Linked DNA regions of Notamacropus eugenii. The protein of the gene in region 3 interacts with the protein of the main gene of each other region in a pairwise test. Links are inferred from orthologs where the notes say so. Each region holds a gene or a part of one and is shown on either strand. Other genes may lie near its edges.

Region 1 (7,495 bases), on a different chromosome or scaffold from region 3:
ATAAAGGAGAGGAAGTAAATGCCAATTGAACTAGGTCTCTGCCACTCCAGGCCAAAGTCTTTCACACTACTTCCTAGTGATTTACATGGGCAAGGAGAAACAGGACCACACCAAGAGGAGGTGTATTTCTCAAAGACAACAGAAACAGATGCAAATCAGTGGAGACAAAGGATCTGGGGGAAAACAACTGGTCTGCAATGCCCAGAGACATCATTTTAGGGAGTGTCACAAAGCACAGGCTCCCAATAAAGAGGATCAGATGAGACAATCAGCACAATACCTGGCACATAGCAAGCAGGATAGAAGTGTGCTAGGACAATGATGTTCTTTGGCTTTTTGATCTGTAAACAACTCTAGCTGCAGTGGTCGAGGAAATGTCCTCAATGGACCCTACCACCAAGTGGGGGGAGAGTGAAGCCAAAGTCAACAATAACGGGGCTTGGCCACTTCCTGCCTCTGTGACCTTGGGCATCAGTGTGGTCCAGCTCAAAGGCACTTCAGAGGCTGTCAAAACCAAGCATCCCTTGTACCCATGAGGAAACTGAGGTTCAAGAAAGTCACTGACTCGTCGAGGGTCAAACAGAGAGCAAGAATCAGCATCAAAGGCAAAGTATCATTTTACTTTCCTGGGTCTCAGTGTGCTCAGATATAAAATGAGGGAATTGGACTGGATTATTTCTAAGGTCTCTTCCAACTAAAACCTTCCTAATTTACATATGGAGGTCAGGAAAAGATCACAGAGATGATTAGAAAGCAGCAAGTCCAGGGCTCTAAGTGTAAGAGGAAAAAAGGTAACAGATCTTCCTTCCCTCCTGCCAGCTGACAATGCACCTCCCAGGCCCTGGCTGCACCAATTTAAAGGGGGTTGGGGGGAACCAGACTAATGAACAGGATCCCAAATCTAAGTTCTACCAGGCTGAAGCCGTTAGAAGGTGGGAACTGGGGAGGATGGCAGATCATAGGTAGAGATGGGATACAAGAAAGGGAGATCCTCAAGTGGGAACTGTCCATTGATGGTACAGAGGACAAAGGGACAAAGAGCAGAGAGCATTTCGGGGAGATCTGTGCAAGGTAAATAGATTTAACACAAGGTGAAGGTAAAAAAAATAAATAAAGCTCACTCAGGTGCCATTTGCATAAGGGAAGGGATGTGGGCCAAAGAATGGAAGCTGCTTGTTTTGTTTGGTTGTTTTTAATGTTTTACTTTGGGGTTGGGGTGGGGAGGAGGAGGGGGTGTGAGGGGTGAGAGTGTGGAGATCAGTCCCAGAGGGGGCTGGTCTTTTGATTGGTCTTACTCAGAGTGGAAATATATGAGGATGAAGGGTGGGCCCAGGCAGAGGGTTAGGGGTAGAGTCCCAGAGGAAAAGCTACTTGGGGGCAAATAAAAGAAAGAGGAGGGACCCCAGAGAGAAGGTACTAGGGTAGGGGGAGATGGGTATCACTGAGCATGGGGGGAGGGGTAGAAGTATCAGAACAGGGCCTAGGGTAGGTATTTGGGGGAGGAGGGAAGAAAGGAGGGGAAATAAAGGAGGTGGGCCTCAACAGTAAGGAGGTGGGAGGTTTATGAGGAATGAGATGAGAGGGTGAGAATAGAGCCGGCATAGGCTGCACCAGGTGGGGGGGGGGGGGGCGGGGGAGAGGAAGGAATTTTGGCGAGATTAGAGGTTAATAACGGAAAGTGTGAAAAGATGGGGCTCAGCTTGGGAGGCAGACTGGGAATAGGGGGAGAGGGCAAAGGAGGAGGGGATGGGGGTAGGGTCGAGAGGAGTGAGGGCACTTTGGGGTTGTCAGGGAGGGGTCTTTGGGAGGTTAGCCTCCCTGGGGGAGGACCGACAGCTGACGGGGTGGAGAGGAATAGGGCTGGGGGTGGCCGGGGTGAGAATCAGAGAGGTGCGGAGGTGTGGGGGGCTGATGAGGGGATGGGCAACATCCTGGGCTGCTGGGGGAGGGGTGCGGGAGGGGGAGGATGGGCGAAGGAGGCTCAGCCGGGGGAGGGGCGGTGTTTGGGGGGTGCCGGTATCTGGAGGTGAGAGCCCCAGAGCTCAAGCCAGGGCCCTGGGGGGTTCGAGCCGAGGGGGGAGGGGTGGAGAGGATGCTCGAACGAGGCTCGGCGGGTGGGGTACAAGCAGCGGAGAGGGGGGATGGAGGGGCCTCCTGGGGGATGGAGGCGGCGGGGGGTGCGATGGGACCTGGCTCGGCCCGCTCGGCCAGGCCCGGCCCAGCCAGGCCCAGCCCAGCCCGGCCCGGGGCGGTGACTCAGGCGGAGCCGAGCATCCTGCTCCCCGCCGGGCCTCGGCAGGTGCCCGCTCCGCCTCGGGCCCCGCCGTTACCTGCTGATCTGGATGGCGGACGGAGACGCAGTTTCTTCGCCCGACATGGTGTCGCCGCTTCCGACGCGCTGCTGGGACTCGCCGGCTTCCGAGTGGCCCAGGGAGGAATGAATGAGGCCGGGCGGCGCCATGGAAGGGGAGGGAAGAAGGAGGGAGAAAGGCGGACGGGGCGGGGCGACTGCTGGGAGACACCAATGAGACGCTGCCGCCGAGGCCAAGCCCCGCCCCCGGCTCCAGGCCGCTCCTCCCTCCGCCGAGCCCGGCCTACCCCTGGCTTCTCCGCCCTGCACTGAGCAGGCACCGCCCTCCGGGGGCGGAGGAAGAGGCGGGGCCGGCGCTGGGGCGGCCGGCGGGTGTCCTCGCTGCCCTTGCTCCTGCCTGCGGCTCCCACCGCCTGCCTGAGGGGAGGGCGACCAGGCCGCGCGCGAGCCCCTGGGGGCGGTTGGGCGCAAACCACCGCTTCTGGAGCGTTCCGAGACCGTTGGCGCCGGTTTCACGTGCCTCCCCCGCGGAGCGCGAGCCCACGCAGGCCCCCCGCGGAGCTGGCCGGAGCGGGGCTTGGCGGCCTGGGCGGCCTCCGGGCCTGCGGCCTTGGTCAGCCCCTCCATAATGAGCGTAAACATTCGTCAGGCCCTTCCGCGGCCCACGTAGGCCTCGGAAGCTGCCCAGCTGGGTGACCTCGGGCGAGTCACCTGACCCTTGTCCAGAAAACCCCGAACCGGGTCACGGATGACGCATCACCACCAGCCCCTTACTCAGCACCAGGCAGTGTAGACGAAGAAAAGCTAAAGACTGGAGCCCGCCCTCAAGGAGTTTATAGAGCGCTGCCCGCAGAGATAGAGGGGGCAAACACGGGGAGCCCCCCCAACCACTGGGGACCCCCAAGACTGGAGAAAGGCCTAACACCTGGACTGGCCAATCAGAGACATGTTGGGCTTCTGGGAGCTCAGCCTTGCATGGGACCCCAAATCCGCCTTCCTGGGTCAGTCTCTCAGGCCAGGTGAAGGACCTTCTGCCCAGGACCAAGACACCCACCTAAATGATGGGACTTTCCTGACATCGTCTCATGTTCACGACAGGACAAATACGGGCATCTAGGGCTGTCTTGGACATTCTCTCTTATCCTACTTATAGCCGATCCTGTTGAGAAATGCCTTTCTTGTATGATGGTTGATACATAAGGAGACTATAACATTGGCTGGCATGGGCATCTAGAGCAAGGAAGAGAAGCAGAGGGGTGAGAGGGAATCACCCCGAACATGGAACATCCCCCTTGTCTGTCTGTCTTTAAGGTTCATAGTGAGTTCCCATGCCCATCTTGAAAGAAATAAACATGCACATGCAGCCCAGTTCTGTTTCCCTTTCTTAGAAAGGAACCCAGTAATGGTTGACAAACAGGACATAAAGAAGTACCAACAGAAGTACCATATCATCTAGCCCAAGCAAAGACCTTAGATTCTTGTTTATTTTACCTCAACCCAATTTTTTTTAAAGAGATTGTTTATATAAGATCCAGGACATTGCAGTAAATATTTGCATCTGGAACTTTGTGTTTTCTTCACCTAGTTTCCAAGCCTTAGCAAGGAAAATGTCATCCCAGTAGGAAAATCTATAGGATGGCACCGATGGGAATCTACTTTGCTTAATTGAGGTGGTTTTCGTTGAAGCTATGGTTAGAAGGTAGGGATCTTTCTCCTTTTAGGAGGTCCTGGACTGTCCCTGGCAATCTGTAGAAGCTTACAGGTCGCCTCTCAGAAACATGCTCTTAAATAAATGAAATATTGAGGACGCCAAAAGAAACTCCAGTTCTATCGAAATTCACTTATCTAAATACAAAAACTAAATTCACAGACCCCAGCTTAAGAACTCTTGTTAAGGGAGTATAAGAACAGGGAAACAAGACCTGGGATTTCATGGACATAGAGAAGTGATTGCATTAATTTTTATTTCAAGAAGTAAAGCACTTTTATTTAAGAAGCTTGCTGACGTAAGGGGAAACAAAATGCAGAAAAAAGGAGACATTTGGCAGAAGGAGATACTGGGAGGAGGCCATGATGCTGGAAACACTCTCAAAGTCGATCTTTTCCACAATGTTCTCCGGCTTGATAATTTCTTCTTGGCTGCAAATGAAGACCTGTCCTACCTCAGTGGAGTTTCAGACACATTTGCTCATCTATATTTTCAGTTGGTTGCCTGACAGATCTCCCAGTATCTCGGCTGGCAGCCAGTAGTCAATATGTTGATATGTGATGCCCACCACATGGCACATAAATCTTGAGACAGAGTCTTCAAAGCCTGTGATGCCATTAAGGAGAAGGAGATCCATGTTCTTTTCTAGAACATTCCACAAAGCTTGGAAATGACAGGTCTCCAGCAAGTCTCCCAAGTACAGGATCTTCCTGATGGGCCACTCTTTTTAATGAGTCTAATCAATCATGCACTTGCATGTGGTGAGGGCCTTCAGCAGAATCTGGGCTGTCACTGTGGTCTGGAAGAAGGCCAGGTTGAACTGGTAGAGCTTGAGCATAGCCAAGTTAGCTTCTAGGTTATAGGTCTCCTTGACCTGGGTATCCACATAGCACTTGAAGTGACCAGGTTCTCAGGTTTATACCTGTCAATGCCCTTGAACACATCTGCTCAAACAACACCGTTTCTTCCTCCTTTTCAAAAGCAGATGCAGGGTCCAGAGTCACCGGAATTAGAAAGGATTACAATAATTTTTAAAGGGAATTGGGAAGGCTTATAACTACATAAATACAATTTTCAAGCCCTGTTCTCTCCCCTCAAAAAATGCCATATTTCAGAAGAGTTAGAATTATGGACTCATGCATAGATTTAGAACTAGAGGAGCTTTTGTGGTTATTGTTCACCTGTGCCCAACTCTTTGTGACCCTATTTGAAGTTTTCTTGACAGAGATACTGGAGTGGTTTCAGATGAGGGAACTGAGGCTGATGGGGTTAAGTGACTTTCCCAGGGGCACACAGCTAGTGTCTGAGGACCAATTTTAACCTAGTTCCAGACTTGGCACTTTATTCATTGCTTCTCCTAGCTACTACAGAAGGAATTTTAGTTTGGATTTTAAAATTCATCTAATTTAATCCCCACATTTTAGAGATAAGGAAACTAAAGCTGACAAGTGGTATACCCACAACTAATACAGGTATCATCACAGGATATCATCATCCATCAGCCATCAATTAGAGCTGAAATGGGACTCAGAGATCAGGAAGTCCAACTCACTGATCTTATGGAAGAGGTCACTGAGGTTCAGACAAGTTACCTGACTCACTCATTGCCTTATAGCCAGTAGGTAGCAAAGTAGGGATTTGAAACCTTTCAGTTCTCCTAATCAGGAATGCTTTTCTTTAAAAAAAATTTTCAATTTTATTTTAGTTCCTGTTCCAAATCCTATCCCTCTCCCAATACCATTGAGAAGGCAGGAAAAAGAGAATCCACTACAAATTCAGTGGTTAAATCATGTCCAGTTCTTTGTGACCTCGTGGACCATAGGATGTCAATGCTGTCCATGGGATTTTCTTGGCAAAGATACTGGAGTGGTTTGCCATCTTCAGTGGATGAAGGCAAACAGAAATTAAGTGACTTGACCATAGTCACACAACTATTAAGTGTCTGAGTTCAGATTTGTCTCCAAGCCCAGCACTCTGTTCTGTCAGCCATCTAGCTGCCTCCGCAAATGTGTATAGTCATAGAAAACAAATTTCCACATTAATGTGAGAGAGAGACAAAGACAGAGAGAGAGAGAGAGACAGAGAGAGAAAGACAGAGAGTGAGAGAGACAGGGAGAGAGAGAGAGAAAGAGAGAGAGAGAGAGAGAGAGAGAGAGAGAGAGAGAGAGAGAGAGAGAGAGAGAGAGAGAATGCTTCACTATGGACTCCAAATCCATCAGTTATCTTTTAAAGTTGATTATCTTTACAATATTGGTGTTACTGTGTAAATTGTTCTCATGGTTCTAATCGCTTCACTTTACATCAGTTCATGTAAGTCTTCCCAAGTTTTTCTGAAACCATCCCTGTCATTATTTCTCACAGTTCAGTTGTATTACATCTCATTCATATAACTTTTTCAGCCGTTCCCCAATTGATGGGCATTCCCTTGGTTTCCAATTCTTTGCCACCACAAAAAAAAAAAACTGTCAGATATTTTTGTACATGTAAGTCCTTTTCTTCTTTGTTTGATCTCTTGGGAGTATAGACCAGGTATTGATACCTCTGTCTAAAGGTATATTAAGATTAATACTTTGAGGAGCATATTTCCAAATTGCCTTCCAGAATGGTTAGATTGTTTCACAGCTCCACCAACAGCACCTTTATGTGCTTTTTTTTCCAAAGCTTCTCCAGGATTTGTCCTTTGACTTTTTAACATCTTAGCCAATCTCATAGGTATGAGACAGTATCTCAGTTGTGTTAATTTGTATTTCTCTTCTTCTTAGTGATTTAGACCCTTTTTCATGTGACTATTAGTAGCTTGGACTTCTTCCTCTGAAAACTACCTGCTCATATGTTTGACCATTTATCAACTGAGGAATGGCCCTTATTCTTATAAATTCTCTATGTATCTGAGAACTTAGACTTTTTTCAGAAAAAAACTTACTGCAAAGATTTTCTTCCCAGCTTCTCACTTTTCCTCTAATTTTAGCCACATTGGTTATGTTTCTGCAAAAACTTTCCAATTTTATTTAATAAAAAATATCCATTTAACCTTCTGTGAACCTCTCTAAATTTTCATTGATCATAAAACCTCCCCATATCCATCTATCTGAGACTTAACTTCCTTGCTCCTCTAATTTGCTTATATTTCCCTTTATGTGTAAATTATATACCCATTTGGAGCTTTTCCTGGCAAATTGTGTGAAATGTTGGTCTATATCTAGTTTCTGCTAGACTATTTTCTAGTTTTCTCAACAGTTTTTGTGTTGAAAAATGAGTTCTTGCAGATTGGGATCTTTGGATTTTATCAAATACTAGGTTGTTTGGGCTTTATTTCTCCTCAAATCACCTCATTTCTCTAAGTCTGTCTGGATGTTGTATTTCTCCAGTAAAAAGGAAATTCCTTGAAGGAAGGGGTTGTTTTCTTTTTGGCTTTGTATGCCAGTGCCTAATACAGTGTAGGTAGTCAATAAATGTTTTAAATTGAATTTAAAAAT
Region 2 (7,849 bases), about 91 Mb from region 3:
GTCAAGTTGGGGAGGGGAGGGTTAGTATGGGAAGGTTCTTTGGACTGCAGGCTTTGGTTTGGGATGTACACTGTTCCCTAAGTGGGTCTGCTCTGACCTTGGGAGGGCTCTGATGGGTGGGTGTGGGTGCAGGTGTGGGTGGGAGTGAGAGAGAACATTGGTTGTGTGATTCTGCTAAGGGGGTTACCCAAGAAAAGAAGAAACTGGAATTGGGGATAGATGGGTAAACCTATCTCCCAAGCCCAGAACTGTCCCTGGAAATATGACTGCCAGGAAGTGGGGTGGGATGAGTAGCCTGAGACATAGGCCTTGGTGGGTCCTCCTTGACAGTGTCATGGCACCTCAGCTCCCTCTCCCCAGGAAGGCCTTGAACAGATGAGATCCTCCTTACCCAGGGAGGCATCCTGGAAAGGCACATTTCTATGCATAATCACAAGAGCTGGAGACACTGCAATAATTCAGGGGAGGGGGCTCTTGGCTCCATCTATTCCATGAATGCCTCAGACCAAGTGTAAGAGAGAGCATCCAGATCAACTGAGAGAGCCCCTGCCTACCCAGGCTGGAATCCTGATCAGCTGCAAACTGCCTCGAGTTCCCATAGGGCTAAAGCTCCCAGATGAGTTCAGTGCTTTGAACCATGAACCAAGCTCAAAACCATGAGCTTGTCTAATCCTACACTGAATTGAATTCACTCAGCATTTATGAAGTTCTTGCCCTTTGCAGAGCTCATGGATCTAGGCTCCAGGGGCCATATAAAGATCTGATTGCAGATGCAGCCCCCACTTTAGATGGGATTCCAAATTCAGACATGGTTCAAGTTTGAACACCTCCCTCTTCTTCCTCCTTCTTCCCTGTCCCCTACTCCTTGCCTATTGACTGACAGGAATCCTCAACTACAGACTCCTCTCAGCTTAAGCCCCAGCAGCTTCTGCTCAGTGGGTTCTCTGTCAGCTCATTTGCCCTACTGGGTACTGGCCTTGCCAACCCTCACCCCCTCCTCTTTCCTCCTTTCAATTCCGTTGCACCCTCCCTCTGTCCTCAACCTTATGTCTCCCTCCATGTACTTCAATATTGTTGGTGCCACCCTCTTCTTCCTCTGCCTTCCTCTCGGGCCCAGGCAGGGGGAAGCTAGGGGATCCCAGGCCGGGCTTTCTGTACTGAGACTTTTTTGTATGCCACAAACTTTTTGTATATTTTTAATTTTGCTGCAACATGAGATATTAAAGTCATTTCAGTACAAACCCCTCTGGCTCTTGTGGATGTTTCCTGAATTGAAGAAGGAGAGACAGATGGGAAGCCACAGCTTAACCTTCCCTACCAAGCCTCCCTCTTTGGGGGAAGGGTCTGTCTCAGAGCAACAACCAGGAATTCTGACCCTTGGGGGAAAAAATCAGTGGAGGTTGGGGGTAGGAATGGGAACCTGGCATCTAGTCCTATGAGAGGTTGAGATAGTCTGGAAACAGAATCATGGGAGCTGAGTAGGCTGAGAAATCGGGAGACCGCGGTGTTTGAAAGTGGGCAGAGGTTAGGGAGGAGAAAATGTGAGCCAGGTACTGAACTTATTGGACAGGAGAGATAGTGACCCCAAGATATGGGGATCATTGCAACAGGAATCTGGTTGTATCACAGAGAGTGTAAAAGGGGGCACAGAGAACCAGGAATATGCTAACTGCTCTTCTTGGTATTATGCATCAGGCGGTGTGTGAGAAGGAACAGCCACCCTTTCACCCTTGGAAAATATGCCAAGAGATGGGGTGTCTTTAGGAGAAAGTTGGGGATGGGATGGAGGCAAGACCAACTGGGATAAACGGGAGTGAACTGGACCTTCCTCTCAAATCTAGACAACCTACTGGGCATAAGAAGTGAGTCCCCCTGCCTACCTCCTGCTTCAGTTGTGGGGAATAGGGATGGGGCAGCGAGAAGCTGAAATCTGTGTTTGATTTCCTCTTCTGATTAGAGAAAGGGATAAACCAATCAGTGAGACTGCTTTGAGCCCTACTCTCCAATTATACCATACAACTAAAGATCATCCAAACCCTTCTTTCTACAGATGGGAAAAGTGAAGCCTAATGAAATTAAGTGACTTACCCAAAGTCATAAAACTAGTAAGTAGGCAGAGCCAGTATCTGAACCAAGTTCTTCAGATCCAGGGCTCTTGATATATGGTAAGTGACAAGAGAAGGAGAAACAAAATGTCATCAAATGATTTAAAGATAGGAGGCTTCATGGAGGAGGCAGCATCTGAGATGGGCCTTAAAGAAGAAAAAGGATTGCAACAAATTAGACATTTTGGACTTTTCGCTGTGAATAGATGGAAACCTCTGAAGGGTTTTGAGTAAGGGGAAAGATGACCAAAATGGCTCTTTAGGAAAATGAGCATAGGAGGAATAGAAGTAGATTCTGGTTAGGGGACTAAAGAAATATTCTAGGGAAGAGGGGTGGGGGCCTCTGCTAGGGGGGTTAGATTAAGCAATCCCTAGGGTAGGGGTAGGGAGCCTGTGGTTTCAAGGTCACATGTGGCCCTCTAGGTCCTCAGGTGCAGCCCTTTGAGTTCAAGTTTTACAGAACAAATCTTTTTATTAAGGGGATTTGTTCTGTGAAGTTTGGATTCGGTCAAAGGGCTGCACTTGAGGACAAGTGGCCTCAAGGCTGCAGGTTCCCTACTCCTGCCCTGGAGTACCTTCCAGCTCAGATATCTCCTTACCAGCTGACACATGCTTGGAGAGCACAAAAAATAATCTTTTATTATATTCCTATAGCATTTAAAAGTTTACAAAGTGGGGCAGCCAGGTGGCACAATGGATAGAACACTGGCCCTAGAATCGAAAGGACCTGTGTTCAAATCCTGTCTCAGACACTTGCTAGCTATATGGCTAGGCAAGTCATCTAACCCAGATTGCCTCCCCACCCTCCAAAGAAAAAGTTTATGAAGCACTATTTTCACAACTCTGCAAACCAAGCAATATAAATATTACTCACTATATTTTACAGATAAGGGAACTAAGGTTTAAGGTAAAGCCCTTAGCAACACATCTAGTCAGGGCTTGAGGCAGGATTTGAAGTCAAATCCAGTGTCCTTTCCATTATCCTGTACTACTTTTTTTTTTTCACTACAAAGAAAGCCTGGTTTTCCTTCCACAAGCAACCCTAGGAATTTGCAGACAACTCCCAAGATCTTACAGGGTAACTGCACTGCTGGGGAGGTCTGAAGTGACTAGGAGGATGTGTCATAGAGGACAGGAACTAAATATGCTCCCTTCCTGACTGGGACTGAAGCCTGGTCCAGACCAGCTTCCTGCCACCATGGCTAGAAGAGCAGGATATACAGAGAGGAAAGAGGAAGCAATTATAAGGCCTAGCCCTTCCCAGCCCAGGCCATCTGGCCTTTGGGGGTAGGGAGGGTGGGGAAAATAGGGAAGGCTGGAGGGATGGAGTAAGGGCCTGGGAAGTCCTCCATGATCCCCAAACCTGAGGAGGCACCTGTAGTTTCCACAAATAGATCACAAAATGTCAGAGCTAGAAAGGACCTCAGACACTGTTAAGTCTAAGCCATCTGAAAGATGTGGTAACTGAAGCCAAGAGAAAGAACATGAATGACTTGTCCAAGATCATACAGCCATGGTGGCAGAACTGGGAGTGGCAACATTATTTAAATCATCAATATACCCATAGCTGCTTCCTCCAAATAATCTCTTATTTTATTCAGTTCTTGGTATTTTTCCATTCCTTCTCAGGTAATTTTCACAACCCTGCTTTGAGGTAAATAATTATCCCCTTTTGAACAGATGAGGAAACTAAGGCCCAGGAAAGGCAAGCTATTTATACAGTATCACATAGCAAATGCAGAAAGTCAAGATCTGACCTGAAACTAGAACTCCAGTCGCTTGAGGCCAGTTCAGGCCTCATTTCACCAAGTTTTAGACATTCACAACCTAATGCTGATTCAGGGATCAGGGCTGTGTTTGAACCCCTCTTACCAGCTTGCCACAGCTGATCATTTCATGTGAACATCTACACCTTGGAAATCTGAAAATGCTACATATTAGGACTTGGTTGTTTTTGTTGAATGTTGAGTAGATTTAGGAAAGTGATAATAAGGGAGATTAAATCTTAAAGTATATCCTGCAAACAGATTTGGGGAGGAAGGGGAGACAGTTGTTAAACATTTAACAGCACCTTTCTGCCCATGGTGTAATATAAACAGTTCCAGGTTTGGAGTCAGCAGAACTGGGTTCAAAGCCATGCTTATTACCTATATGACCTTAGATGAAGCCCCTTTCTGAAGGTGGACTAGATGCCCTCCAAAATCCTCTCTGAATTCTGGGGTCCTGTGGTTCTTTGAGTGTTCATCAGATCAGAGAGAGTTTGGGATGGAGAGGAATGAAGGCATAGGAAGGGATCGTGAGGGGGTAGGGTCTAGTGTTGGCTCCTACGTAGCCAGGGACAGTATGAAGACAATGGGCAATACTGGGGTTTTCAAGAGTCTGAAAGGGAGGTTAAACTTCATCCCTAGGCACCAAGTCTGGATAGGAATAAAGTGCAGTCACACAGAGCCCAGCAGGTGTACTTTACCAGCTCTGATTATCTCCTATTGGCCCTCTGGGACAGTGGTTCCCATAACTTCCCCTTTATTCTCTGTTCTTACCCAGCTCTCCTCAAGAGGGGCTGCCACCCTGCTCAGAACTCCATTCCCTGACCTGGGGTCCCTGGCACTTCCACCCACTCTAGCCCAGCACTTCTTATCAGGCCAGGAGGGGCAGGAATTCCTGGCTTGCTTGGTGGAGTTTCCGAGGCAGGAAATACAACAAAGAAAATCTCCAGCCAGTAGAGAGGTGGGGGTTGGGGGGACACACCATGGAGTTCGAAGGGAAGAAGGGGAGAAAGGTATGTTTGGAGCTGTGGCTTGGGCATGGGCTTCAGGGCCCAGAAAATGGGGGATACTGGAGGGGGGAGCAGTGAGAGGGGGAAAAGATGCCTCTGGAAGGGTGAAGCCAATGTTAGGGCCTCTCTTATTAATGGATGAGATCCTATTACCTATCCCTGCTCCCTGAGACAGATAGATTGATCATAGAACTTAGAGCTGGAGGGAACTCGGAGACCAACTTTTTTTTAAGTCTAACATTTAAGTTAAGTTTCTTAACATTTTTGTATATTACGGATCCTTTGGCAGTCTGATGAAGCCCCTTCTCAAAATATTGTCTTTGAATGCATAAAAGCAAAGTATATAGGGTTATAAAGGAAACCCATTACATTGAAAGATGTAATATTTTCCCTATTCAAATTGGCTGATGGGGTAAACTAATTTACTGATGGAGTTCTAGTCCAATTCTCTCATTTTCCAGATGAAGAAATGAAGCCCTGAGAGAAAAATGTATTTGACCTTAGTATTAGTACAGTGAGAAGACTGGAGAGCTCTAAAGATAGGTCTAGCAAGGGTACTGGTTTTTCTCCCTCTCTAAGGCTGCTTAATGGAAGCAGCTTCCCAAACTGGCCCTTACTCAGAGCTGATTGTGTTAATAAGAGGGAAAGCCAGATGTCAGTCATATCTCTGGATGACACAGAAGAGCTACCTTGGGAGTCTGAATTTTGGGGGTAGACTTTCAGTCTGTCTCTGTTTCCTTGAGCTGAATATACGTCCCCTGGAAGAGCTTGTGTGGCAGGTGAGTCAGATAGAGAACACAATATTGGCATTCTTCTCTCATGAACCGCCTCTTGCTTTCTTGTTAACCGTGAGCCTTTCAGTAAGTGGTTTGGTTTAGGGACACTGGCCTAGAACAATTTATTTTTGTAAGCTGATTATGGGCAAGTCAGAGGTAGAGAGGCTGGGGCTCTTGTCAGGGTTATTGGCTTACAGATCAATTGCCCTGCCTTTCTGATTGTGCTAATACGTAATGGTACAACATCTGAAATGTATTCTGCAGCTGCTCTCAGTGGTTCCTGTTCTCTGGATCTTTTTCAGAGAAAAGACAGGCAGGCAGACTTCCCCCAACCCCCAACTTTCTTCTGTCCTCTTGCTTTTAATGGCTCTAGACTCCCCAGAACCAGATGGATTAGAGGGACAGATTGATTCAGACTGCCACCCCAAACTTATTTCCCCAATATTCTTAGCAGACCCTGCTGTCTGGACCTTCCTGGTTATCCATCCTCAGAATCCCCTTCCTGAATCTCTTTTTACAGTTCTCTCCTAGTAACTATCTTTTTTAGATTGGGATAAAGGTGGGTTCTAGGTCACTCAGCCCCTCCTAGGAATTCTGTCCCTCAGAGATCCCTATTTGTTTCTTTATATCTATCTGGGCCCATAGGCCCATCATGAATAAAGTGCTGTACTCAGAGTCAGGAACACCTGGGTTCTAATTTCACTTCCAACATTTGCTAGCCATGTAACCATGGAGAGGCCACTTAACCTCTCTGGGCCTCAGTTTCTTCTGTAAAATGGGGATCACAATACCCATAGACCCTAAATTGCATGATATATTTGAGGCTCAAATGAGATAATACATGTTAAGAACTATGTAAATGACAGCTTTTATCTGTCTGACCATCCATCTCTGAAAGTCACTATGTCTGATTTCAGAATTATCTGTCTCCTCTGGTCAGAGACTTATACTCTTCCCCTGGAGGTCAAGCAATGCTTAGACACCTTCCACCTGAACAGGCCAAGACTCATAGGGTTTTAGTGTATGCAAACTTCTTTGGCCAGACTCAGACTCACAAACGTACACACACATGTGCTCATACACCTACTTGAATGCACATGGACTAAGGCATTCACAAGAACACAAGAACTATCTTTCTCTCTCTCTCTCTCTCTCTCTCTCTCTCTCTCTCACACACACACACACACACACACATACACACACACACACACACACACACACACACAAGTGTGGTATAATGAAAAGAGGGCTAGAGTTGAAGGCCCAGCTCTTCTACTTGTGACTGTGGACAACTCATTTATCTCCTCTGAGCCTCAGGTTTTTTTACCTGTAAAATCAGGGGGTTGATCAGGTGACCTCTAAGTTTCCTTCCAGCTCTAAATCTGTGATCCTATGAACCATATGCAAACATAGAAGATACGTATACATCCACTCTCGCTCACAGATACCCATTCATATTTACATTTCCTGTAGATGTAATTGCATACTCAAATACGCACAACTCATGCACACACACAGCCTCTGGTCACACTTAATGTCCTCAGTAGTACAGACCTATCTAGGAGTGTGCTGGCAAATGTTTAACACCAATTCTCTAAAAAAAAAAAAAAATGCACACATGGTACACTTTTAATTTTAATCTGCATTAATATTTTCTCAGAATTAATATTCTCCTTCAGTCTAGACAATCAACAAAATAATGAGTTGAGCCCTGATTTGTAGTATTTACCAGTATTCAAGGAGTAAATACACTGAAAATTTAACAGTAAGCTCATAGGCATGAGATGCCTCCAGCACACCCCTGGCCCTGCCCTAATTCTGTCCTTATTGGGAATCCCCAAGTCATACTAGATTAAAGTACACACCCACAGAGCAAGGGAGACCCACTGAAGTCTGGCTGAACCCTTGGACCCTTCCCCAGGGTTCTCACCCCCCCACTCTTGCTTCCCTAGGGTTTTGTGTCCCCTATCCGCCGGCTGGTATTCCCTAAGACAGGGCGTCGGTCAACTGGGAGAAGTCCTGTAAGCCGACGGCCTCTCCACTCTGTGCCCCTGTATCCCCCGGACTACCTCATTGACCCCCAGATTCTGCTGTGTGACTACCTGGAAAAGGAAGTAAAGGTGAGGAGGGAGAAAGAAAATTACGTGGGAGGACACATGGGCAGGAAATTGGGACTGAGCCAGTCAAAGTTA
Region 3 (7,849 bases):
CCAAGCCTTCACTTATCAGCTCTACCACACTACCTTTCTTTCAATTCATTAAACATTTATTAAGTACCCTTGAATACTGAGCACATAGCTAGACACATACGAGAGAGACACAAAGTTTGGAAGAAGAGAGGTCCTACCCTCAGTGTAGCAGAAAGTTATGACATAGACAAAAGTATTTATACAACGAAATAATACATCGTTAAGTATATCTTGGCAATGGAAGCAAAGTGGTACATAAAGTGGGGAGTTGAAGGGGGAAATGAGATCATTTCTAACTGGGGAAGCTTAAGCAGAGATGCAGGAGGAGAGCTACAGAATTGTAAGGGAGCTTAATAAGGGTGCGGAGGATCAGGAAATCCCTTCATACTGCCCTCTCCGATGGCCAGCGCTTGGAGTTCTCAGGAGATTTTCAGTTAGCAGTGAGCCAGGTATCTCACATCAAGGTATCAATCACAAAGGTATTCTTGAGAAAAGAAAATGTGGACCAAAGAGTCTGGTGAGTACATAAAAGATTTTCCAGAGCTTCAATGACCTCAGAGCAAAAGGAAATTGGTTGCCTTTCCCAACCCACCTCCACCTGAGTCCAAAGCCAGGATAATCACAGACAGAGACACATAAAATCTTAAAAATTACTTTGTGTGTTCTGCTGGTTTTACAGATGAGGAAAAGTGAAAGACTTGCCCAAAGTCACACAGCTAGTTTACGGCCAAGCCTGGAGTAGAATCAAAATCTTTTGCCCTCTTATTCCCCACCCCCTCACTTCTACTGCTAGGTCCTCACCTTGGCTTCCCAGTGCCACCAAGGGTTTCCTGCCCACAGAAGAAGATGAGCAATTAATTCTATTTCTCTTGGAATCCCATCTCACTAGAGCAATATGTTATAGAGCTGCTAGACCCCCTGGGAAGCCCAGCCTGGAAGGCTCAGGATATGGGAAATAAGGAGAGCCAGCCAAAGAAAGAAAAGCTATGTCTTTATTCCAGGGTTAACTTATTATGGGAATACTGGTAGATGAGGTTGCACACCTTCCCACAAAGGAATTTCAGAAACCAGTCTCTCCGCCGCCGGCTTCAACCTGTAGGCCCCTAAAACAGGGTTGCTGTGAGAGGAGCGATCTGTTGCCACTGTAAGGCCTGCACGCCCTCCTCTAGCTTCTGTCTGTTTCCTAGCAGGTGCTTCAGCCGGCCTCCAGGCACCCGGTAGAACCTCACCCAAAAGCCACTGGCACTCTGTCCAAAATCCTCCCCTCCCTGATGTCCACGACTTCCCAGAGGAAGCACGGGAGTGGAAGACAAGGAATGAGACCTTGTAAGGAGTAAATTGAGCAAAAGAGCAAACCTCATGGAAGGACTTCACACATACATACACACACACACACACACACACACACACACACACACACACACACAATCACATCCTTTCTAGCTGGTCTCAGTGGAAGGGGCTAAAGAGTACGAGCTTAAGGATTCAGCCTCAGGGTATGGGGGAGGGGTGCTCAGAACCCTGCAGGTTCTCCCCCACCTCGGCTAGCACTTACACCCAACACACCCCAGCTCGCAGCCTCTTCTTCCTTCGCCCTCAACCGGCCTCCCCGCCCCCGCCGCCCCAGGAGAATGGGCGGGCCTTCTTTGGGCATCTCCACCCAAACCCCTGCCGGCTTCTGGAGATGCAGAAGCCAGCAAAGCGGTGTGCCAGCACATGGCCGGGACAGCCCGGCGGGTGGAGTGCCGCCCCTAAACCCCAGCCCCCAGCCCCACCCCGACTCGACATGTGCAGGATCCTCTCCGAAAAGGCGCTGAGCGCTGGGGAAGTCCAGCGGCAGCCCTAGCCCCCGGAGCCTCCCGACTGCACCGCCGCAGCAGCTACGGGCAGGGGAGCTGGGCAAGCCGGGGCCGCCGCGGGGGGTCGGCTTCTTGCCACTGAACGACCCCCTCCCCCAACCCCCTCCAGTTCCAGCCCTCGGTCCTCCCCTTAGCGAAATGCGTCACGTCTGCATGCTGCTAGGGAGGCACCTGCACCCGCCCCCGCCGCCCCCACGCCCCTAATAAGCCCCGGGCGCCCGGAGTGGAGCTGCCAGGGCTGGAGAGGGAGAGAGACAGCGGGGGAGGGGCAGTGAAGAAACAGGGCACCCAGAAGACTGTGGCCATGCTACCGCCACTGTCACCGCAGCAGCCGTACCCAAGGAGCCACGCTGTCCGCCTGGCCCTGGGACGCCCGGCGCCGGAGAGCTCGCAAAGAACTGGGAGGTGCACGGGGTCCGCAATGCGCCCCCCGCCCCTGGCACATAGACACCCCCGCGTCCCTGGTCCTCCCCCCCGCCCCGACACACACACACACACACACACACACCACAGCGATACATGCAAGCACGCACAGACATTTGCAGACAGACACTGGGCGCTTCCTCGCGGGGGAGGGGGGAAGGGGGGCACTGAAGGCATGGGCTTCCTCCTCCCGCAGGGCTGGCGCAGCCCCCCACAGCCGGACTCACCTACATGGCCCTAGCCCAGCCTTCTCCTCCCCGCGGCTCCCCCTGCAGCCCTCCCCCAGCGCGGTGCCGCCTGGATCCTTACTTGCCGATATCTTCGTAGAGCTGGTACTCGTCGGTAAAGCGGGTGCAGGTCACGGTCGTGGCCATCGCTGCGGCCGCGGAGAGGGCTCTGCGAGCTGCCGCTTCCCCTGCTGCACGCTCTGGGCTCAGGCTATCGGCGGCGGCGGTGGCGGCGCAGGGCTCCCGGGGAGGCGCGGTGTAGCCGTCAAGCTGATCGGGCTCGGGCTCGGGCTCGAACTCGGACTCGGACTCGGACTCAGGCTCGGTCTCGGGCTCCGGCTTAGCCCCGCAGCGGCGGCGGCGGCGGCGGCGGCGGCAGAAGCAGCAGCAGCAGCAGCGCGGGCAGAGAGTGACACCTCCGCTCCAGGCGGGGGGCCGGAGGCTGGGGGGCTGGCTCTGGGCAGCGCAACGCGAGATCTGCTCACTGCGTGTGTGCCACACACCTACACGCGGGAGGAGGCGCGGGGCTCTGCCGCACACGCCGTGGACCGGCCCCTCCCTCTCCCTTGCGCGGCACCCCCCCACACACACAGACACCACGCACGCGGGGACCCGCACACAGCACAGCGTGGACCCACCCCACTCCTCCTCCCTGCGGAACACACACGCGGGGAAATGCTCCCAGCGCGGACCCACCCCTCCCTCTGCCCTGCCGGCAGGACCCTCCCCCCCACCCACAGTCACCCTCGAGGAGGCCAGCACCCCCGTGGATATGTAGTTCCACTGCACACTCGTGGGCGGACCCTCAACCCCCCCACCCCACCCCTTCTCCACACTGCACAACACCCTTCACACTCACACCCGAAAACTGAACGCCAAGTTAACCAATCCGACCCCTTCTCCCTTCAGGACACCCACGACTGCAGACAGGGTAGGTGACCCAACTCCGATGCCTGGAACACCTAGAAACCCTTTCTCTAAGGCTGAGGCAGGAGATTTGGTTTTGAACATAGACTATAAAGGCAGGGTGGAGTAGGGCAGAGCCCCTGGGGAGGGGCAGCAGCAGGGTTGTGAGGAGGTGGGAAAGCTGCCCCCTTATTTAACTCATCCCCTCAAACAAACTGGAACCCCGAAGGAGAAGGTAGAGTCCTTCCACCAACTGGATCCCTGGGACCACAGCTCCTGATTTTAGCCACCCTCCTAATCCTACCCACTCCTATCCACCCCCACTCACCCCCTACAAATGGTAGTTCTGAGCAAACGCAGCTCTGAGGCAAGATAGAGGGGGCAGGAGGTTAAGCTAATAAAAAGCAGACAGTCTCTTCCTACCAGCCACCATCAGGCATCTCTGGGTAGCTCTAACCTTATGGTCATCCTTGCTCTAGAGAGGGGACATTTCCTCCCCCTTCTACCAGGGCCCTTTGCCCACCCACCTGCCCACTCTTCAACGCCTGGAAGAGGATATATTTCCCCAACTGGAAGGGAGGCCCTGGACCCAGATTGCAGGCATCAGTCCCTCACTGCAAGGTGCCAGAGCTGTTGCTATGGGCAGCAACAGGGAGGAGGAGATAAGGATGCTGAGGAGGGGGAGGGAGGGAGTGGAAGAAAAACTGACCCGGTTTCACAAACAAGAAACCATTACTTCAGGGTCAGGTGCTGGATCTCTGATTCCCCAAGCTTCATATCTAGAAATTATGAGCAAGGAGGTGTCTGGCTGCACCTACCAGGATGGAACATAGTCTCAGTTCACAGAAGGATAGCCAGGAGGGTCTCCAGGGGCCATCTGGTCCAATCCCCTTATTTTGCATGTTAGGAAACCAAGGCCCACAGAGGTTAAGGTCACCCTAGTAGTGTCAAAGGAAGAATAGGAACCTGGATACTCTGACCGAATAACCATTGCTTATTCCCCTGATGCCTGATGGCAATGCCTTCAGTACCTTCCTTTAGGTTAGAATAGAGGAGGTGGTCGTCCGGGTTAGAGTCTGCTTATTGGAGAGTGTTGAACACTCGCTGTTGGAGCCAAAAGAGAGAACTACCAACGCTCATCTCAGTACAGCATAAGGAATTCTGGGTTTGAGGTCACGGGTCCAGAGTTTAAATCCTGGTTTTCTTCTTTAATACTTCTGTGACCTTGGTGAAGTCTTCACTTCTCAGACTTACTTTCCTTATCTGTAAAATGAGGGGGTTAGGGTAAATGATCTCTAAAGTCCCATTCAGCCCTAAATCTATGATCCTATAGCCTACGAAGCCTGGTTTCATCTGGCACTACTAATCTCCTCCTGAATCTAAACTGCATTCATGGTTATTCCTCTGAAGGGCCTCACTGCCCTGCTCCCAGAAAACAGGACCTCCTCAGGTTGGCATAATGAGATGAAATGACAGAATGCAAGAGACAAAACCCTGGCATCCATCTCCTGGCATCTTCTCTTCAATTGCTGCCAGTTGAACTCCTAGTCAGGCCTCCACCTTCCAGATGCCAGTGGTTGGTCCTTCCCAGGCAGAGGCCCCTTTATCTCCCCCCTTCCAGGGCCTCCAGTGCCAGTCTGTCCCAAGACAGGACCCCCTTCCACCTCCCCCCCAACCCCCAGGGCAATAACACAGGCAAAACAGTGCACTCCCATCCCTCCTCCAATCTTTGCCTGTTAGAAGAACCTCCTGGAACTTCACAGAAGACAGTATCACTACCTGCCATGAAACTGGATTGAACCCTGGGCAAGTCACTTGACCTTTGCCTGACTCAGTTTCCTGAACTGTAAAATGGGAATAATAATAACACCTATCTTGAAGGGTTGCTGTGAGGATCAAATAAGATAATATTTGTAAAGTGCTTAGCACAGTGCCTGCCACATAATAGGCACTTTACAAATGCTACTTATTATTATTATAATTATTATTAACAAAGAATGACTGGAGCCTTCTGTGTTGCCTAAAAATACATCCATATTTCTCTCATGCTTAAAAAAACCTCATCTGATCCTACCATATCCTACAATTGTCCTAGATCTCTTCTTGGCTAAACTCTTTGAGAAAGCTGTCTACACTCTCTCTTCTCTCACTCTCCTCTCCAATCTGACTTCTGACCTCATCATTCAATGAACACTTGACTGGACAAAGTTACTAGTGACCTCTTAACTGACAAATCCAATGGCCTTTTCTCAATCTTCATCTTCCTTGAACTCTCTGAAATCCTTGACACTGTTGATCATGCACTCGCTTCTCTGGCCTTTCATGATATGACTGTCTCCCAGTTCTCTTCCTTGCTACCTCTCTAACCAGTCATTTGCAGATTTCTCATCCTTGTTATAACCACCAACCATGGCTGTCCCCCAAGGCTCTGTCCTGAAACCACTTCTCTTTTCTCTCTATACTATCTTACTTGGTGATCTCATCAACTCCCATGGGTTTGGTTATCATCTCTATGCAGATGATTCCTAGGACTACATAATAACCTTAGTCGCACTTCTGAGTTCACATGATGTATTATCAACTGATGCATTTTTAACATCTAGAACCAGATATCCTGGAGGGAACTCAAAATCAACATGTTCAAAACAAAATTTGTTCTCTTTCCCCCAAACCAGTCCTTCTCTCCATCTCTTGAGCATCCCCATTGTTGTCAACTATACTCACCATCCTTCTAATCACCCAGATTCCCCACCTCAGTATCATCCTTGACTTTGACACTCTCACTCAACTTACATCTCCAATCCATTGCCAGAGAGTGTTGCTTCAACCTTCACAATATATATCACATATAACTCCCCTCCTTTCTACTCACACAATCTCCACCATAGTTCAGTCACTCATCAACTCTCTCCTAGATTATTGCCTCTAACTGGCATCCCTGCCTCAAGTCTTTTATTGCTCCTTAATCTTACTCCCTTCTCTCTGAGAATGTCCCTAACGTGTCCTGTATGTGGCTTGTTTGTCTGGGAAGCTGAGTGGCATTGTGGACAAAAAGGATGGCCTGGAGTCAGGGAGACCTGAGTTCAAATCCAGCCTTAGACACTTACTAGCTGTATGTCCCTGGGTTAGTCACTTAACCCTCATTTGTAGAATGAGCTGTAGAAGGAGATGTCAGGCCACTCCAGCATCTCTGCCAAGAAAACCCCAAATGGGGTCACGGAGAATCAGACATGGCTGAACAAGAGCAGCAGCAAATAGCTTGTCTGTACATAGTTGTTTGTATGTTGTCTCCACCATTAGACTTGAGAGCAGGGATTTTTTTCCTTTGTATCTCCAGGGCTCAGAAGGGGTTTAACAAATGCTAGTTGACTAAGTGGGCAGCTAGGTGGTGCAGTAGATAGAGCACCAGTGCAAGAGTCAGGAGGACCTGAGTTCAAATCTCACCTCGGACACTTGGCACACACTAGCTGTGTGACCTTGGGCAAGTCACTTCACCTCAGTTGCCTCATCCTGGGTCATCTCCAGTCATCCTGATGAATATCTGATCACTGGATGGATCTGGAAGAGAAGTGAGGCTGGTGACCTGCACAGCTCTCCCTCACTCAAAACAAAGTCAAGCGCAGGTCATGTCATCATTTCTCTGAGGGCATGGTCTTCTTTGGCAACAAAGGACGAACACAGGTGACTAAGTGGCTGAATGATCCACTGATACCAGTCTGCTTGTTTCTTAACTGTGAAATCCCATCTCCCATCTTGACATCTTTGTCATCTCTGACTCCTGGCGTCTCTGGGTTCCTTCTTCTTTCTAGGGGAGGCCTTTCCTGGCTTCCAGAGCTGCTATCGCCCTCTCTATACGATGACCTTCTATCTTCACTGTCTATACATTGCGTGTATCTAATGATTTCCCTGTTGCCTCCTTCATTAGCATGTATGCTCCTTCAAGGAATAGTTTACCTGTCTGATCTATGGAGAAGGGAAGAATTTATAACCAAACAGAAGATAGAGAATATTATGCAATGCAAAGTGGATAATTTTAATTACATTAAATTAGAAAGGTTTTGCACAAACAAAACTAATGCAAACAAGATTAGAAGGGAAGCAGAAAGCTGGGAAACAATTTTTACAGTCAGTGTCTCTGATAAAGGCTTCATTTCTAAAATATATAGAGCTGAGTGAGCAGAAGCAGGAGAACACTGTACACAGTAACAACGGTATATGATGACCAACTTTGATAGACTTAGCTCTTCTCAGCAATACAAGGATGTAAGACAACTTCAAAAGACTCATGATGGAAAATGCTGTCCACATCCAGAGAAAGAACTATGTAGCCTGAATGCAGATAAAAGCATACTCTTCTTTCTTTTCCTTTCTCATGGTTTTTCCCTTTTGTTCCAATTCTTCTATCACGAAATGACTGATGTGGAAATATGTTTAATATGATTGTACATATATAGT
Region 4 (7,104 bases), on a different chromosome or scaffold from region 3:
AGAGGCAGCATGGTGAAGGAGATATGAGTTTGAATCCTGCCTCAGATACTTATTAGGTAATGGTAGACAAATGAAATAATCACTTGGTACCTCAATACCCCCTCCCATTAAATGGAGGTGTGAGCATCTTTCTTACAGGGTTATTGTGAGAATCATATGTGAAAGCACTAGACAAGCCCTAAAGTGTTACGTGGTTATCAGCTATTATGAATTTATGAAAGAATCTATACCAATCATTTTTACCAACTGGAACACCTTGAACCTAAATGCTGGGTCCTAACCCTGGGTGCTCCCAAGAACTTGAGTAGGATGTAGATTTCCTGGAGGATTATATCAGGTAGGCAATCAATCCCAACTTAGTAAGAACCAGGAACAGTGCTCACTGCTGGACTGTCTCCAGAGGAGTCTGCTGGGAGAGAAAGTGAACTGGATTTGGAAACAACTTTGCTTTTTGCCAGTGGTAATACCTGGACATGGCACTGCTTGCCCTGACACATGTCTTTTTTCCTCATTTGTAATATGGGGGGGGAGGGGTGTACATAAGAGGATCTCTAAAGTTTATTTTGTTTTGAGTTTTAAGCCTATGATCCTAAGAGCTCCTTCTTTATCTGACTGGGGTTGTTGTCTGCCTGGTACCTCTTGGCACCTCTTGGTACCTCCCTGCTCCCTCATAGTATAAGCCCATAGGCTACTTCCAAGTCACGCTGCTTCATGGGATGCAAGGGACAGGGACAGTCCTAAGACGGTGCCTACTAGGTGGCATTAGAGAGCTCTTTATGAAAATTCTTCGAGATTTAAAAAGGACATAATTGTAAAATAACAAAGTCATAAAATACACATATGTATATTTAGATATATCATACACATATGCAAAAAGTATGCAATGTGGGAAAGCTTCCTGTTTTTTTTCTTCAATATTTCCTGGCTATAGAGGAAGGATTAATACCTGTTACCTCAGTTATAGCCAGAGAAGCCTTTAACTCTAGAGTCAAATGACCTTGGACTTCAACCACGGTTCATTAACTGTGTGACCTCGGGTAAGTCATTTATCTCCTTGTACCTCATTTCCTCATCTCTAAAATGAAGCTTTTGGACTAGATGAACTCCAAGGCCTTTTCCAGCTCTAAATTCAGCATCCGGTGACCTGTTTCAAAGAATATGACAAGTCAGCGTCTGGTTTAACCAAATGCAAAGCAGGGCCTTCCACAGGGTGTGGTGGGGGCCACACCCTCCTCACCTTTAGGCGAGTCCCGGAGAAGGCTGCAGCCTGCAGCCGTCCCAGACTCGGAGCTATCTGAATAGTTTCCTCCAAGAATTTCAGTTGCATTACAACAGCAACAAAGTTGCCTCTTGCTCTTGAAAAAGTTTGGGATTTGGGGCTTCGGCCGTCCTCGATCACTAGGCATCTTCCGTCTAATCCTGGGTGGAAGGGGGAAACACAATTCGGTCTGAGTCTCGTACTAAACCCAAAGCCTCCTGAAGGAGCGACCCCAGCGGACCCCTCTTTATGGGCCAGCCGAGCTCTTTCTCACGGCTCCCAAGCACCCCTGACCCATCCACTCCTCCCTCGCCCACCTCCTCGTCTGATCCTAAAATCTGAAGACAGGTCTTGACATCTCTCCTCCTCGAGAAATAAGGGAGGGTCGGGACAAGCCGAGGCAGCTCCCCGTTACCTCCCAAAGAGCATGAGGGAGCCAACAATCCCACCCCTAACCAGAGAGACTTGGAGGCAGGTCTGGGCACTTCTCCCTCTCCTCCCTAGGACTGGCTTCTTGGCCGAGCCTTTCCCTACTCCCCGCCCCCCTTTCCTTCGGGGGCAGGACTAGGTGTGGTGTTAGCTTCTCCCTTCCCAGGCCAGAGCGAGGATTCTCCGCTGGCACCCTCCCCCGAGCCCGCTGCAGCCGGGAGAAGGGATTGGCAAGCTGTGCCCACCCTAGCTCAGCCTAAAGAGATACGGACCCTGGGGTCTCTAGGCTCAGCACCTCTAGGTCTACTGCAGCCTGTTCGACTTTGTTCTCCCCAAACAGCTGCTTTGGGGGGGGTGGGCAGGGAGAAGCAGGGGGAGGGGAAGGGAAGGGACGGGAGACACCGCTGAGAAACAGCTGGGCCTCCGCCTCTTCACTTAGTCTCTATTGATAACCAATCACAAATGGGGGATACTTTTCAGCCAATGAGGCCCTGGAGCCTGACACAACCTCGGCGACAGCCAATGCCAGGCTACCTGGGGGCTGCGGGGAGAGGAGGATTGCACCCGTCGACCAATGGGCCCCGAGTTTGGGAGAGGAGGTAATTTGAGAGCCAGGGTGGGTGTGTCCAGTGAAACCTTCCTACTTCTAACTCCCGCCCCCCCACCAGCTGCCGCTCGTACTGAGCATGCTCAACTCTCTCCTATCTCCTGCCCGCCTCATAGAACAGTTCTGACGGGCTTAGCCAGATTGGCCGGGTTTTCCACACAGCCTAGAAAAGTCTGGAGGGAGGGACCCAGGATCCTGCAGGATCCTCGCACCCCAAGTTCTGCAGTTGGTCCCGGCTGGAAAGAGAAGGTCGGGGGCCCCGTGGGCGACCTCCAAGGACCAAGGAACCAGCATCAACCGCAGAGATCCCGCCTTGGCTGGCTGCGGTCCGGGTCCCTGGCTCGAACGCCTCCCCCTCCCCCCCCGCCAACCCCAGTGGTCCGGCAAGGGTCAGTGGCGTGGGCCGGCAGAGGTTGACGGGTTTGGGACCCAGAAGTAGATGTACTCTCTGTATGCGGCCAGACCACATCATGCTACTCTCCGCACGTCTCCCCATTTCCATCACTAAGCATTCTGCCTCCCCATTGCAAAATCAGAACACTCGGGGTTCCAAGCTACCTGGAACCTTAGGGTTGCAAGCACAGTTTGTTTAGCTTCCTTAGGGGAATGGGGGGTGGCGGTGAAGGAGGAGCAGAGCACTCTGGGGCTCGAAGTCTGGGGAGCACCTCCTGCGATCCAACAAACTGGCACCACTAAACTGGCAAAGAGCCTCTATCCCCGGTCGGGAATGATAAGTAAAGATAACGGCCCTACCTAAACTCTCAAGGATTTCTGGCCCAACCTCACTGTACAGTGGAAGATACAGAGGTCAAGAGAGGCAAACTGACTTGAGAGCTGTAGTAAGCATCTAAGAGAGAATTAAACACCGGTCCTCCATTCTTCGTCCTTGTGCCACGCAGTCCAGGTTCCTACCCCATTTTAGGGAGATGGAAGCCGAAGTACAGAAAGAAGAAAGAACTTAGGGTAGCAACTGGCCAAGCCGGGGTCAGAGCCCATGTCCTCCAAATTCCAGTTCAGCCTTCTTTCCAATGCTGAGCGCTTGGCCAGTTTTTAAGCTCTCCAAACTAGCCACGATTAAGGGTTAGTATAGCAATCAACAAAGATTTTTTAAACGACTCCTATGTGCCAGTTGGGGGCTGCAAGGTCAGAAAAATAAAACAAGTAACCGCTCTCAGGGAGCTAATATCCTAGGGAGAAGACAAGGTGTACTTTCAAAAAAGTCGCTACAGAAGAACACAGGTGATATTTGAGAAGGGAACACTGGTAGAAGCTGGGGCATCAAGATACATACAATATATGTGGAGTGCCCCCGCGTCAACACTCTGCTTGGGGAGCACAAAGCCAGAGAATGGCACCCGCGCCTCTGCCTGCTCCCAAAGGGGATCTCCTGGATTCAGCAACGAATGGTTTTCCCCGGAAGGCATCCCAGAATACACAAATGGGGAGGAGGGCACCCAGGAGCCCCGTTTCCCCCCAATAAAACCGCCTTCCAGTGCGTCCCCCCGTCACTTGTCAGTCATCCCTCCATCTGCCTGCCCGGTGTTGTGGGTATCTGGATGCAGGACCCCCTTCATGCCCTCTTGCTAGGAGGGCATACAAATAATAGATCTTATCCTGGAATTGTTTTTCCCAAGGCTGGTGCGCTCATCTCTGGCACCCAGTCCACCTCAACTCCAGCTCAGGGGACCCAGTCCCAACACGAGCCCACAGCTTTCTTGGCTCCGCCCCTGCCCCGGCCCTCTAGGAAAACCCGGAAAAGCGGAATCCTCCCCCCGGCAGCCTCGCCACGACTCAGCGCCCCCTCACTGGGCATGCTCACTAAGGCAGGGCAGGTTTGGGGCTGTAAGTAGGAAGCTGGAGCACTCCCAGGGCTGCTGGGGAGGGAGGTACGGACCGTGGGGCTGTTGGAGGAAGGAGGCAGGCACCACGGGGACTCATGCACCACGCGCTCGGGGCTGGGGCGCAATTAGCAGCCGCCTCCGCAGCCTGCACCCGTCCTTGCCTCTGCTGCCACCGCCGCCAGTGCCAGAGCCTCTGCCACCCCTCCTCCCAACGCTGCTGCCGCGGGTGAGGAGCAGCCCCAGCTACCGCCGCCGCCGCCACAACCGCAGCAGTAGCAGCAGCAGCCCCAGCCCCGGCCCCGGCCGTAGTCCGTGCCCGGCCGATCGCCCGCTCCTTCGCCAGCCCGGGCATTGTCCCTGCGCCTGCCGCCGCCGCCGGCCGCTTGCTACCAGTGCCCCAGCCGCCGCCGCCTGAATGCAGGGCACGGAGCCCGAGTGAAGCCTCGCCGGGGTGGGCGACCACCCCCCACCCGCAGCTCTTTGCTTTCTCTCTCCCTATTCTCTCCTCCCCCGCTGGGTACTAGGAGAGAGCACCCGGCAGGAGCCGAGCTAAGCTTTGCGCAGGTCCCACTCCTTCCCCCTCTGCCCCCACGCCCCCCGGGGGGCCCAGGCCGGAGGGAGGCCGAGAGCGGGAGAGACTCTCGGGGAGGGGGGGGGGGGTAAGAAGCCATGCGAGAGTACAAAGTAGTGGTGCTGGGCTCGGGCGGAGTGGGCAAGTCGGCCCTCACCGTGCAGTTCGTGACGGGCTCCTTCATCGAGAAGTACGACCCCACCATCGAGGACTTCTACCGCAAGGAGATCGAAGTGGACTCGTCGCCGTCGGTGCTGGAGATCCTGGACACGGCGGGCACGGAGCAGTTCGCGTCCATGCGGGATCTGTATATCAAAAACGGCCAGGGCTTTATCCTCGTCTACAGCCTGGTCAACCAGCAGAGTTTCCAGGATATCAAGCCTATGCGCGACCAGATCATCCGCGTCAAGAGGTACGAACGGGTGCCCATGATCCTGGTGGGCAACAAGGTGGACCTGGAGGGCGAGCGCGAGGTCTCGTTTGGGGAGGGCAAGGCCCTGGCCGAGGAATGGAGCTGCCCCTTCCTCGAGACGTCGGCCAAAAATAAAGCCTCGGTGGACGAGTTGTTCGCGGAGATTGTCCGCCAGATGAACTATGCGGCTCAGCCCAACGGGGACGACCAGTGCTGCTCCTCCTGCGTGATTCTCTGAAAACAAGGGGTGGGTGGGGGAGCTTCTTCCTTCGGGCTTGTGCTTTGGTTTGAATTTTTATTGGTTTCTTTTTTTTTTTTTTAAAGAAAAAAGCGAAAGCAAAATACAATACTTCTTTCTCAATGTGATTTTTTTAATTATTATTTTAAGATTGGAAACAACTTTGCAGCGTACAAGGTGTGTTCCAGGTGGGGGCTCATGGCTATTTCAACTGCAGCTGACGAGCCCCAGTGCTCAGTGTCATGGGGGTGGGGGGAGTTGTCTTGTATTTAACATCTGAACCTGGGTGGAAATGTGGCGCTTTCAAAGCATGTACATTCCTCTCGTGGATTTCTTTGATAGTTGCCTGTTTTCCCACTTAAAGCAGCCGTTAGAGAGCTGTATTGGCAACTTGACACCAGGCAAAAAAAAAAAAAGTTTTAATCTGGAGGGAAGGGATGGGAGCTGGAGGAGGATGGGAGAGAAAAAGGCTTGTCAACAACCACTTTCCAAATGGAAGATTTAAGTACCTAGACCGGGGAAGGAAGTGCAGGAAAAGCCTGTGAAGAAATGAAAGGAGAGGAAGAAACCCCGTTTCCAGGCATGTGTGTATGTGTGTGTGCTGGAAGTGAGGGTTAACTGCCTTCCCTGGCAGCCTGGAAGTGCAACCCTGGGACTGATTACAATTCTGAGGATTTCTATGCAAAGTTGGATTATTGTTACAGTGTATCCAATCTGAAATATTGCACAACTGAACTTGGACTGTTTACACTGGTGCCAATGCAGTGTGGAGTGCCAGAAAGTGTCTGCTGATATTTGTGGAAAAAAAAAAAATCTATTTTGTTTACCTACTGTATCAAATGGGAGTCTGGGGGAGAGCGGGAGTGTTTTTTTTTTTTTTATCAGCTGTGAAAAATTACAAATCTGCACATTTTTTTGGTGGGGTGCTTTGTTAATTTTGTTTTGTTTGGGTTTAGGGTTTCCTTTTGGTTGGCAATAACTGATTTTGATGACCAGATCTTTAAAGTACAGTACAAAGACTTCCTCAAATGTGATTCAGGGGCAACAGCGACCCTGTGTCTAGAGTGCCTTCAAAACTCAGCTGTTCCAGCCGTGCCAACCTGTGAAAGTTCCACAAAATCCCATTATCTGCTATGACTCCCCAAAGTACTTAACAGTTTCCTCTCAGTAATCATACCCAACAAGCCGAGACAAAATGGCCTGTTGTTCATGGAATTTCTTTTGATTTCTTTTGGAGCCTTTTACATGTAATTTCCATGTTTTGCAAGTACTCCTGGCTTCACGTAATTTAAATTTTCAGGTATTTAGTGCCCTTTTCCTTCCCTCCCTGGTTTTTTTTTTTTTACCTGTCTTAGGATATTCCTCCAGCCAAGAGCAAAGTTTTAATGTTGTGATGTACCAAGCAGATTCTAACTAATTGTAATTTTAATTCCAGACATGCGTTTAATGGTTGTCTCTTCATCTAAAGACTTTTAATACAAATACCATTTTTAAAAAAATGCAAACCCCAGAGGCCTGTTTGTGTTTTTGTTTGGTCTGGTTTCATCCATTGTATGAAGTCATACACTGTCAAGCCTGATATGGAAAGAGTCATGACTTAAGTCATAACTGAATCTGAAAGTGTTTTTATCCGGGTCTGAATGGATAGATGCAAGTACTTTGGTGGAGAAGTGGGTGGGGTTCATAGGATCATAAATTGGTTGGAATGTTGCCTTCAATTCTTAAGACTGGGAGCAAAACCAGGATGA

Evidence for each region.
Region 1: the proteins of CAMK2B (region 3) and ACOT7 interact in binary tests that used the Homo sapiens proteins (3 or more experiments, as listed by UniProt). The two-hybrid records come from large-scale screens. The link is inferred for Notamacropus eugenii from reciprocal best matches to the Homo sapiens genes CAMK2B and ACOT7.
Region 2: the proteins of CAMK2B (region 3) and CCM2L interact in binary tests that used the Homo sapiens proteins (3 or more experiments, as listed by UniProt). The two-hybrid records come from large-scale screens. The link is inferred for Notamacropus eugenii from reciprocal best matches to the Homo sapiens genes CAMK2B and CCM2L.
Region 4: the proteins of CAMK2B (region 3) and RAP2B interact in binary tests that used the Homo sapiens proteins (3 or more experiments, as listed by UniProt). The two-hybrid records come from large-scale screens. The link is inferred for Notamacropus eugenii from reciprocal best matches to the Homo sapiens genes CAMK2B and RAP2B.

Annotation. Positions count from the first base shown.
Region 1 is NC_092876.1:44,698,636-44,706,130, forward strand, and holds the start of ACOT7 (cytosolic acyl coenzyme A thioester hydrolase), read right to left. Parts: upstream 3,002-7,495; 5' UTR 2,954-3,001; coding exon 2,331-2,953; intron 1-2,330. UniProt on the Homo sapiens protein: Catalyzes the hydrolysis of acyl-CoAs into free fatty acids and coenzyme A (CoASH), regulating their respective intracellular levels.
Region 2 is NC_092872.1:431,208,661-431,216,509, reverse strand, and holds the start of CCM2L (cerebral cavernous malformations 2 protein-like), read left to right. Parts: upstream 1-4,839; 5' UTR 4,840-4,854; coding exon 4,855-4,884; intron 4,885-7,609; coding exon 7,610-7,777; intron 7,778-7,849.
Region 3 is NC_092872.1:522,555,671-522,563,519, forward strand, and holds the start of CAMK2B (calcium/calmodulin-dependent protein kinase type II subunit beta), read right to left. Parts: upstream 3,005-7,849; 5' UTR 2,636-3,004; coding exon 2,571-2,635; intron 1-2,570. UniProt on the Homo sapiens protein: Calcium/calmodulin-dependent protein kinase that functions autonomously after Ca(2+)/calmodulin-binding and autophosphorylation, and is involved in dendritic spine and synapse formation, neuronal plasticity and regulation of sarcoplasmic reticulum Ca(2+) transport in skeletal muscle.
Region 4 is NC_092877.1:375,391,081-375,398,184, reverse strand, and holds RAP2B (ras-related protein Rap-2b), read left to right. Parts: upstream 1-4,103; 5' UTR 4,104-4,804; coding exon 4,805-5,356; 3' UTR 5,357-6,861; downstream 6,862-7,104. UniProt on the Homo sapiens protein: Small GTP-binding protein which cycles between a GDP-bound inactive and a GTP-bound active form. Involved in EGFR and CHRM3 signaling pathways through stimulation of PLCE1.